2 linked regions of the Danio rerio genome follow. The protein of the gene in region 2 interacts with the protein of the main gene of each other region in a pairwise test. Links are inferred from orthologs where the notes say so. Each region holds a gene or a part of one and is shown on either strand. Other genes may lie near its edges.

Region 1 (5,469 bases), on a different chromosome or scaffold from region 2:
AAGGAAATTCATGGCATTCTGAAATGCGTTCATTGCATGGAAACCATATATAATGCAATTGTCCTGTCATTATTCATCTGTTTTGGAATATCATGTCTGGGTAAAGTTTTGTTGGCATTGTGTGCTTTATTATTGTGGGGTTACTAAATCCTTTTTTTAATTTAACAGGAGGATGGTAAAAGTAGAGCCAGAATATGACGACAATGTCGTGACTTGCAGTCAGATGGTGTATGACTGTTATGCCTCGAAAAAACAAGGCCATGTAAGATTTCTTCCTAAATATTGTACTGCACCACAGTGTATTTGCTTTTATGCAGTAAACATTGACTGCATTGCTTTAATGCATATTAGGAATAAAGCTGAATATTCTCCTAATCTTCGTCTTGTAGGCACCTGGCTCATCCAACAGTGGTGTTGGCAGCAACTATGTGATTTATGACGATATGCAATCACTGGTCAGCGTGCTTAATTCAGAGATGGGCCAGAGCATGCGTGTATATGGATGCACTTTTCTGTGGTTCATCCCATTTGTTCGTTCCATAATGGAACTTCAAGAGCACAATGCTTCCTATATTAGTGAAATCATCCACTATCTTTGTGATAAGATCCGAGATAATCGGTACATGCTGACTGGACAAGCAAGCGTGTGTGATAAAGTGACTGAGCTCTTTGCTCGTATCTTTATTCAAATCGTTGAGCTACACTATACCGAAGGACAAATGGGAATACTTTCTCGCTGTCCCCCCAAGTGGGTTGAGGTGATTGTCATGTGCGTCGTCTTATGTGATGAACCTTATGGACCCCCAGACAGGATGGGTGGGATTCACAGTGTCAGTTCAACATCTTACAGTCTTGGCATTGTAGGAAGACCTACATCAGAATGTGGGAATGGAGCAATAATTAAAGGCTGTTTGACGCTTATTCGGCAGCTGCTTAAGGAAGGGAAAAGAAGATCTGACCCAGATGCGGCCATGTTTTTGAATTTGCTTAACAAGCAGCTGCGTGGTGATACCAACAAAAGGTGGAGTCTAACTTTTTCAAATTCTGCAAAGCTTCAGCAGTGTTTGAGGAAAATTGTGCAGCTGATGGCTGAAAGACCTGCTGTTCCACCCCGATCCGCACCATCTGTTGAGGCAGCTACAAATACTGTTGTTTCCAGAAATTCAGTATCAATCTGCCAACAACAAGAGGACCCGGAGGCAGGTCCCAGCAGAGCTGCGTTTATCAAAGAGGAGCCTCTTTGGAATTATGGAAAAAAATCTTTCTCCAATGAGGAATTCTCATGTGGGCCTGAGGATGTCTTCAAGGGTAAAAAGGAACCTTCTGACCCAGTGTTAATTTCAGAGCTGAGGCCTGCTGTTGAGTTGACCAATATAAAACCAGATCTGGGTAAACTGCAGGAAATTCGATCAAGATTAAATGATGATCAGAGTTTGTCAAAGATCGAAGCAATTGCAAGGAAGAAGTCTGACGTGTCAGCTAAAAAGAGACCAGGTTTTGGGGCTTTAAAAAATGAGGAGGAGGAGGAGGATGATGATGATGATGATGATGATGATGAACCCCTTCATATCACTCGAACTCGTCTGATAAAATCTGCAATCCACAAGCTTGAATCTAGTGACTCTGACGTTGACTCCAGAGCAACTGCGTCTTCGGTTATTTCCAAGCAGAACACAGAGTCCACTACCATAGTTATCTCTGATGATGAAGATTCTGATAATGATATAAGGCCAAATGACCCCTTGAGGTCTAGTTACAAAGAATGCACAGTAAAAAACAAATCTCCAGAAAGTCCTGTAATGCCTGAGAGTCCGGGGCGTGATTATGATGATCTAAGTGAATCACAAGTGTTTGAGTTTGAGACTCAGCAATATGTGGCATCTGCTTGGGATAATGCAGATTTGGATGGATCAGTCTTGACAAAGAATCTCAAATCAGATCGAATACTCAAGCCACAGTTGGATGAAACGCCTAATGAAGCATCTCCCTCATGGAGTTCAGAGACTGAGCTGGTACCAGATGAGGACATTGAGAGGGCCTGTCAGCAGGCAGAAGAGAAGATCAGACAACAGCAGCCGAGAAAGCCAGCAGATGAGATGGAAAGAGACTATAAGCAGGTGGAAGAGAAAATCAGACCACAGCAGACACGAGAGAATTCGGATGTGCATGAATTCTCATCCAAAGCATCAAGTACTACAAAAAGCTGGGATAAATTTGCCAAACCAAAACCTCTAAAGACTAAAGTAACAAAAACCACTCCATCTGATAAGAGAGACCATTTGCAGGTTAAAAAGCCAGTGTTAATTGATGCCCTTGCTCAAAAAATCAGACGCCACCCTTGGAAACGTAGCTCAACATCTGAGGACATGGAGGAACCTTCCTCTTCAACTACTCCATCCTCATCTGCTGTATCCTCCACCTCCTCCTCCTCCTCATCATCATCATCCACTCCATCCTCCAGCTCCATCACTTCTCCTTATTTTTCTGCATCTACGTCACGTGGCACCCCTGCCATTGTTCCTCCAAAGAAGGTGCGTAAAATTGCTGAGCCAGAATCAACGGCAGAGCGTTTAGGATTGAAAAAGAAGGAAAGGAAAGCCTTTGATCTTTCTCAGCGTTCACTTGACTGTGTCGCCAGACTCAGGTGCCATGGCCAGAACGTGCAGGTGGAGCCACATCAGAAAAGAAGGCGAGCGTCTCGAACCAGTAAGACTTCTCCGCAGAAACGTATGGTGAAAGCTAACAAGAAACTAATGGGATCTCAAGATATTCAGTTTTTCAGGCAAAGTCGTGAGAAGCATCAGAAGCCAGCAACAGAACCCATTACAACATCAGCTTCCAAACCAGTCAGTCGGCAAGATGAATTGCACTCATCGAGACCAACAATTCCAAACAATGAGGATGGTGACTTCTTGCCCTGTCCTCAACCAGATGCCCATTGTCAGCAGGATAATGAAAAAGGTGCATTAGGGAGTAGCGATTCTAGTGGGGATGGGGTAGGGAATAAGTTCCTCCAAGCTAGTGAGGCTGCTGAAGGTAACTTGGAAGGAGAGAAAGCTGCTCAAGCATCAAAAGAGGATGTTGATGATGAATGGATGTTCTATACACAGATGGAACCTACAGACATGGAAATCTGTTCACAAATGGAGGAATTTGAGGATGAAAACGACGAACTCTTTCTTACCCAGAGAGATCCTGTTGACATGGACATCGATACAGATAGTGGGTCGGATACCCCTGGTCAACCTGACTTCACTGACAAAAATGTACCGCCTTCTAATGCGGCAAATGATCATTTGTTCTTGAAGCCTGGAATGTCACCCATGTCTCAGAAAAAAGCCAAACCTTCCACCACTAAAATATACACTCCCAGCTCCCGTAGTGCCTCACTTGTCCTTGAAATGGAAAAAGGAGCCAAGCCTCCCCCTCCTGCAAATGTCGCTAAAGCAAAAATTCCTCGATTGGCTTCAGCAATGCCACCCCCAGCAATGCCACCACCAAAAATGCCACCCCCCAAAATGTTCCAGCCTTTACCCCCTCCACAATTACCAAAGCCACCTGCCTTAAAACAAGTAACTCTTCCTCAGGGCAGTGTCCCCAAGTTGGTCACCAGTAATAAAATAAGCTCAACCTCAGAACCCCCATCATACAAGGTATACCAAAGACCAGAGGCTCCAGTTAACAAGCCAGTTAACAAACCAATGCCCACAATGGATCAAAGCCCAAAGTTTGACCTTTCGGTGTTAACCCAGGCAATCCTTAAATGGGAATACAGAATGCTTGATAATTATAAAGCATTTGGGAGTCCACTTGATCTGTGCCAACTGCCGCTGAAGGAGGTGCCAGTAAATTTTTCTTCCTACCTGGAGTACTTCAACACCTTGTACCCACTGCTGCTAATTAATGCATTCGAAGAGGTGGGACTACATTTTATTTCAGTAATGCCTAAATCTTTTGATATAATTGGGACTGCATTTTTTTTAAATATAGATGATTTGTTTATTGGTGTTCTTTTTCAAGATCAGGAATTGGTTTAGTTTTAATCCATTGTGTTTTCAATAGATGGCTAATGAATGGCTCAAAGAGGGAAGGGTCAAGCTGTACCTAAAAGTCCAAGGTATTGAATACAGCAATCGCACTGCTAGTGCTAGCTTCATTGGTAAGTTCAGCAATTAGGTATTCATGCTAATACAATTACAGTTTGTAGTTGTTAGCAGAGTGTGTTTCCTGTAAAGTATCAGCCTTTTGATTTAAAAAGTTGCTTTTATTTGTAGCCGGCCTTTCTCAGGAATGTGATGTGAAACAAATTTACCCAAAAGAAGATGACCTTGTATTGCTTTGGCTGCCAGACAACACTGGGGCATACGCCCAGGATGAACCAAATTTTCATGATCTACATCCTCATTTTGGCTATGTATCCCGGTCCAATGTTTTAAACAGAACTCCAGGTGTGTGCTCTGATGCTCTAATTTTAATGAGTATTTTTTGTGTTATTTTATGTCCACTGTCTCATTAAGCTGTGCCTCTTCAGGTTCCAGGTCAACATTAAACCTGACAATTCAGACACGCGGTAATGTATCATCAGTGAATTCCCAACCTGTGCTCTGTGAAGTTGTTGGATCATTGATCAGCATATTTCGGGAGTTTCGTGCACTGTGTTTGCTGAGAAACGGACCAATGCTACGTCCTCTTCTTGCGCCCCATGTGTCTTTTTTCACACATTCTTTGGATGGACCATCAGACCTAGATGCACCAGTGAGTTTGGCTTTTTACAAACAGTGCTTCCTACTTTTCTTGAGTCAGACTTTCATCTTTGCTAGGGAATTTGATTATTTGAATCAGGTGTATTAAAGAAGCCATCCAAATAATCAGAACGCTTAATGAAATGAGAATATCAGATCAGGGACACAAAACACATATGCTATGCATAACCTTATGCATTCCGACTGTAGACTAGGTACTTTAAGCCAAAATGCAACTGAAGCTCAAACAAGACGTAGGAAAATTGTCTAGAGCAGAGGTGACCAACCGTGTTCCTGGAGATCAATCTTCCTGCAGATTTCATTTGCAACCTGTATCAAGCATACCTGACTATAATTATAAAGTGCAGTTCAGGTCCTAATTAGTTGTTTCAGGTGTTTTTGATTGGGGCTGGAGCTGAACTCTGCAGGAAGGTAGATCTCCAGGTGCAGGGTTGGTTACCCCGGCTCTAGACAACTTTTCTTGGTCTTGTTTAGGTACTTTAGGCCAAAATGCAACTTAAGCTCAAACAAGACCAAAAAAAATTGTCCAGAGCAGGGGTGACCAACCGTGTTCCTGGGGATCTACCTTCCTGCAGATTTCAGTTGCAACCGGTATCGAATGCACCTACCTGTAATTATCAAGTGCAGTTCAGGTCCTAATTAGTTGTTTCAGGTGTGTTTGATTGGGGCTGGAGCTGAACTCTGCAGGAAGGTAGATTTCCAGGTG
Region 2 (6,009 bases):
TGTAAATGATACTTTTCTGAACTTAATTTAAGGAGAATGTGCGAAAGTGAAAATATAAAACCAACTTTAACGTTACCTCTAACGTTATACGCTGAGCGACCATGTGGAAACATGAGCTATAGTGGCGAGGTGCATTTAAACAGTAAATATCTTCATAAGATTTAATTAAATATGTAAATACATTTGTTGCATCTGTTTTGCAACTACTAAATTATATTTTATCATCTTGACTACTTTAAAAACAGTCCAAACTCGACTAACAGTGAGTGTAGAAAAAGCGCTGAAGACACAACGTGGCTGTGCTGCAGAGCAGGCCACATGAGACCCGCTTTACCCTCATTGACACACCGCACTGGGGAAAAACGAGTGAGCTACAAAATTACATATGTACTAACAGCATTTGCATTAATAAAAATCCTTAGATTGTACGTTTTGTCTTTTTGAAAGTCTCGGACAGCACTGCTAACTTCGCCGGCTAGCTAAGTGTAACCGTAAAAGCTACACAACTGCAAGAAAACGGCTACAAATACATTTAATTAACACAAAAAAATGAGCTTACCTTAAAAATGGCATAGCCGGCGGCAGTTTCAAATAACACTAACATTTTTGAAACAGCTTTTCTTGCTCTGAATAAAGTTTAAGGTCGAGCTCCCGAGACCGAGAGCCTTCCGCTACAAGAAGTCGCTCTCTCCACGAGGCGCACATGGGACAGGACGAGCATGCGCAATACTGCCAGTGAAATGTGCGCATGTGCAGTAGTCTCAGCCTCATTTTCATGCACCATCACCTCGTGTTGATTTTCAGTTTTCGAGTTTTATATTCAAAGTGTGTAGAGACAATATTTTGGATAATGTCATATTCCAAATAATGAGGATGATGATGATGATGATGATGATGATGATGATGATGATGATGATGATGATGATGATGATAATAATAATATACTAAACAAAAGTTTTGTAAAAAAAAAAGATATTTAAATGTTTTAGACAAAAAGATGAATAAACAATTATAATATGAAATATTATTTCAATTTTAAATATCTGTATTGTTGTATGTAAATATGTTTAATATTCCAATGAGAGTTCAGAATTTGTTATGGTCAATTTTACTTGGTGCTCTATGATTAATAATAATTCTGCTTGATATTTCTGTTAAATACACAATACATTCAGCTTTCTAAAATTCTCAGAAGAAACTGTATTTGAAATAAAATGTTCAGTAACATTATACAGATTTTTTATATTACCTTTGATCCACTGAATTAGTCTTAATGTCTTTTTTAAAATCTATGGCATTAAAAGTTATAAATACATAAAATAAACGATTTATTGTTTTATTTATGCAGGAATTTGCGAATTTATTAACTAATTGATTTTTTATTTGCATATTAATTTATTGTTTTATTTATTTATTGCTTTATTTATTTACTTTATTTATTCATTGCTTTTTATTTTTTATCTTTTTAATTTGTGTATTTATTTTGTACATTTGTTTATTTATTTAGCATGTTTATTTATTGTTTTATTTATGCAGGAATTTGTCTATTTATTTATTAATTTATTTGTGTATTTATTTATTTATTGTTTTATTTATGCAAGAATTTGTATTTATTTATTTTTTGTGTATTTATTTATTTATTGTTTTATTTACACAGGGATTTGAGTATTTATTCATTTATTCGTGTAGTTATTTATTAATTATTTTATTTATGTAGGAACTTGTGTATATATTTAGTCATTTATTTATTTATTTATTTGCGTATTTATTTACTGTTTTATTTATGAAGGAATTTGTACATGTGTTAATTAATTTATTTATTTGCGTATTTATTTATTTGTTGCTTTTGCAGGTTTCGTCCTCCAGAGGTGTAGTGTAGTTGTCACATTATTTTTGCACTCTAATATTTCGTGACCAAAATACTGATGTGTTTTTTTTTTTTTTTTTTTTGCAAAATACGGGCCTCCCTATGTTTTACCAATAGCAACATCGCAGATGGCGATTGGAGCCAATCAGAAAGAGCGTGGTGAGAAAAACAACGCTCGTTGGGTCATCGACCCAGTGTCATAGAAAGTCCAGCCCCTTTCCAATGACGTCAACGGCGCTGTGTTGTGGGTCTGCTGGTAGCACTATCAAAACCTCTCATTACTGTACATAACACTGTATCGTTTAAATCAAACAATCTTGATCTACAGAAGGGCTGCACATTGCGGAATATCATGTCAGACACGGTGAGTCTAAACCTGTGATGCTGAATCGAACTTTCATGAGAGCAGACGAGAAAGACGGACTTATAGAAAATGAAAATAAGAGGGCCCAGCTTTTAGCCTGTCTAGCTGACTGTGGTTTGGAAAGTATTTTTGATAAAAATGCTTGAGTGTTTTTAACTGTGCATAGTTTCTGGTTCTCGCAATTTACACATTAGTCCAATTTACTGTGTTCACAAATGCCAAAAATATGTGAATTTCTTCCTCAAATCGTCCAATTAGCATGTGTGCTAGTTAGCTGCTCTGGGCCCTGAAAGCAGAGTTCATAATATCTTGAGCTGATAGACCATGCTGAACATTTGAATTAGTTATTAATTGTTGATTTTTTGATATGTTCATTAGGATTATTCGTTATTTGTTCACGTTAGTTTGTGTTCGGTTTGTGCTCGTATTAACAGCTCGCGATAGAAGAGTAACGTTAGGTTGTGTGTTTACATTCAAAGCACACACACACACACACACAGCCTAGTGTTTAAATGATAACAACACTCACAATATTATTTTATATATAATATATATATATATATATATATATATATATATATATATATATATATATATATATATATATAATTATAATTTATTAAAATCGGATCTACCTTATTTTATACGATCTTCAGTCAATATTTTATTGAATTCAGTCCCAAGATATTTTTTTAATTCATTACATTAAATCTGATAAAAAAACAATATGACATGCAGTAATCGAATGCTTGTTTTGTTTTAATAGGAGACCAAGCCCTCAAGTGATGGAGGCGAGAAGAAGGATGGAGAGTACATTAAACTCAAAGTGATCGGTCAGGTGAGCAAAAGCACTTGTTTTCTAGGAAATGCAGGTTTTCATATTTAAACCCATTACTGTTTAAAACCAATCCAGCTGTTCTTTTATAATGAGATATATGAAAAGATCTGAACAGATTTGATGATTTCCTTTCATTTCGCAGGACAACAGTGAAATTCACTTTAAAGTGAAGATGACGACACATTTAAAGAAGCTGAAGGAATCCTACAGTCAGAGACAGGTGAGTCAGTTTTTCCATTTATGAGGGATAACGATAAATCTACACTACCATTCAGAGGTTTTGGGGGGTGGGTAGGATTTTTAAAAAACGCACTAATGCTACTTTTATTCAATCAAAAATGCATAAAATCTGTATTATTGTGAGTATTGTTACAAATAGAAATACACTAACACTGTAAAAATCTTAACTGTGATCAAATTAATGCGTCATTGCCGAAACAAAAAACAATGTTTAAATAGTTGTGTATGTTTCAGTTAAGGTTCCTGAGGTCTCATTTATAAAACATTGCATAGAAACTTTCCTAAAAGTGAATGTACACCAGAATACATTTTTATTTATTTATTAATTATTATGGCTTTTATGATGATTTAAAGTGCTTGAATTAAGTCAATATTTAAGCGAAATGTGTTTACTTAAAGCTGCGCACATTCTCCCGTCAAGTTTGTTTTTTATAGATCATAATAACCTGTATAAGAAGTGGCGTACACGTGTTTCCACCCCCAATTTTGTGTATACCATGTTTATAAATGAGACCCCTGGACAGTTTATTCTCTCTTTCAGATCAATTATTTGAACCATGTTAGTTAAAACATAAAACGTCTGTAATGATCATCTAAAGGGGGTGGAGTAACAATTTATTAAGAGGAAATTCACATTAATAGATGCTTTTAGTTTTGGTACAGAAAATATTGTTACACACAGGATATATATATATATTTTTACCCATTATGAGTTTTGGTAATAAACATTTAGTTTGCTTGCCTCGGCTTTTCTTTATCTCTGCTTTCTTAAATGAAACGCAACGACACAAGTATTTACTTTCTTTTACAAATATTATTGACAATATTCCATATCATACTCTCTGCTATTATAAATAAAACATAAACCCATTATATAATGACATGCAATCTAATTCTGAAATATATATATATATATATATATATATATATATATATATATGTATATGGTCAAAGATGTAAAAAATATATTTATATTTATCTGTTGCTTATAAAGTTACATGTTTCAGAAATTACATTTTACAAAAGTATATTTTTGTATTTAAATAAATTACTATTACAGTTTTATAAACACTCAAACCACTGCAGAAATGTTGCATATATCATATACACTAAAAAAAAAGACTTTTGCGGCTTGTTCAAAGTACTTATATATAATTAGCTGAAACTTGTGTTCTTGAGGACAACTTAATTGTTTTAAGTTAAGCCCACTTAAATTTATGAAAAAAAATTAAGTTTAATCAATTTATGATGGGCCATGTAAAAGAAATGTGTGGACCATAGCATTTTTACAGTATATTAGAGATCAATTTTCTATACAAGTTAAAATCATTACCTTAAATGTTTGTTTTAACAGTTGCTGGAAGTGTGTAAACAGGTTTTTGATTGTAAATGTAGCTTTCTTCACGAGTCACTGCTGCGTTTAAAATGGCATAAATGTTATGGGAGTGCACTATGGAGATAGCACAGTTGTCAATTTGAAGTTTATAAACTGAACTGTAATAAGAATAACTTTAATATAAAATGTGAACAAGACAACCTTTAATGTTTTTAAATGATTCAGAGTATTTGTGTTCAAATGGACAAGGGCATAGGGTGGATGATTCAGAATAGAACACAGCCTGGAACTCTGCATCTAACTACAGCTCTAGAGGTGTAGCTCCAACCAACCAAGTGTGTGATGCTGTTTGTGAATGTTTGCTATAAGATGTATGGATGTATATTTGGAATAACACTGAATTGCTGAACTATTTTTGTAATGAAGGAAATTGTGATCTTAGTTGGTTGGCGATGGTTTTGTGAACAGCACCATTATTCTAGAAAATGCACAAAGACAATATCAGAATTTGCTTTAAACAAAACGATTTGAGAAGTTTAGAACAACTGAATGAATTCAAGTCTTGTATTTTCATTACACACCGCTGTTTGTCATTTTTAAAAGTGTGTATTTTTAATGTAAAAATGTTCAGCTCCACATTACTCTGATTAGAAACTGATAACGAGAGTGTGCGATCGTTTACATCTGACTTTACTTTGCTGTTTTATATTTGTTCCATATCTAAAGATTGATTACAGTGTGTTGGAGGTGAATGTATTTAGTCTTTAAGTTTATTCTCATTCATTTACTCTTTATTTACTGTTTTTTTTAAGAAAACCAATTCAACCAAATCATACAGTGTGGTATAGATCAGTACGGTGTGGGTAACCTTTATCAGGCTTGTGTCTCCACTGCCAAATGGTACCCTTTTAGTAGTAGGCATGGAGGCAGAAAGTTGCAGTCTACATCATGTCACTCAACTAAAAGTAAAGCCATATGGGTCGTTCACATATCATATGAGAAGCACTTCTCACAAAACAGGTGCTTTATTGACCTTATTCTCCGCAGACGAGTGGGCGCTGCCATTTGAATCTTTTTTGGCACGAGACTTCCGGTCTCATTCACTTCCATTCATTTTTAGACATTAAAAACTGCTCGTTTCGCTGTTTGATGTTGCAAACTGATATTTCCTTGTTATTTTATTCTACTTGGTCTGTGTAGTCATGCAAACATTTGTTTGTAGAGCAAGTAGTTTGACCGTTTTTTGCCGTTTATAATTCCTTGTCATTTCTCCCATAGGCGACTGAAACGGAAGTTCTAAGACAATCGTGAAATCAGGCGCACTTCCGCATTTTAGAATAAGGTCAATACACATAAATACTTAT

The links. The genes of interacting proteins can lie anywhere in the genome.
Region 1: the proteins of sumo1 (region 2) and setx interact in a two-hybrid assay, tested with the Homo sapiens proteins (2 studies listed by BioGRID and IntAct). The link is inferred for Danio rerio from reciprocal best matches to the Homo sapiens genes SUMO1 and SETX.

The regions. Positions count from the first base shown.
Region 1 is NC_133196.1:4,738,431-4,743,899, forward strand, and holds part of setx (probable helicase senataxin), read left to right. Parts: intron 1-168; coding exon 169-262; intron 263-389; coding exon 390-3,917; intron 3,918-4,062; coding exon 4,063-4,159; intron 4,160-4,274; coding exon 4,275-4,448; intron 4,449-4,531; coding exon 4,532-4,755; exon of another isoform or gene 4,756-5,135; intron 5,136-5,415; exon of another isoform or gene 5,416-5,469. UniProt on the Homo sapiens protein: Probable RNA/DNA helicase involved in diverse aspects of RNA metabolism and genomic integrity.
Region 2 is NC_133181.1:10,602,498-10,608,506, forward strand, and holds the start of sumo1 (small ubiquitin-related modifier 1), read left to right. Parts: upstream 1-2,117; 5' UTR 2,118-2,219; coding exon 2,220-2,231; intron 2,232-2,997; coding exon 2,998-3,069; intron 3,070-3,211; coding exon 3,212-3,289; intron 3,290-6,009. Other genes in the region: nop58 (nucleolar protein 58), read right to left, coding at 560-604. UniProt on the Homo sapiens protein: Ubiquitin-like protein that can be covalently attached to proteins as a monomer or a lysine-linked polymer.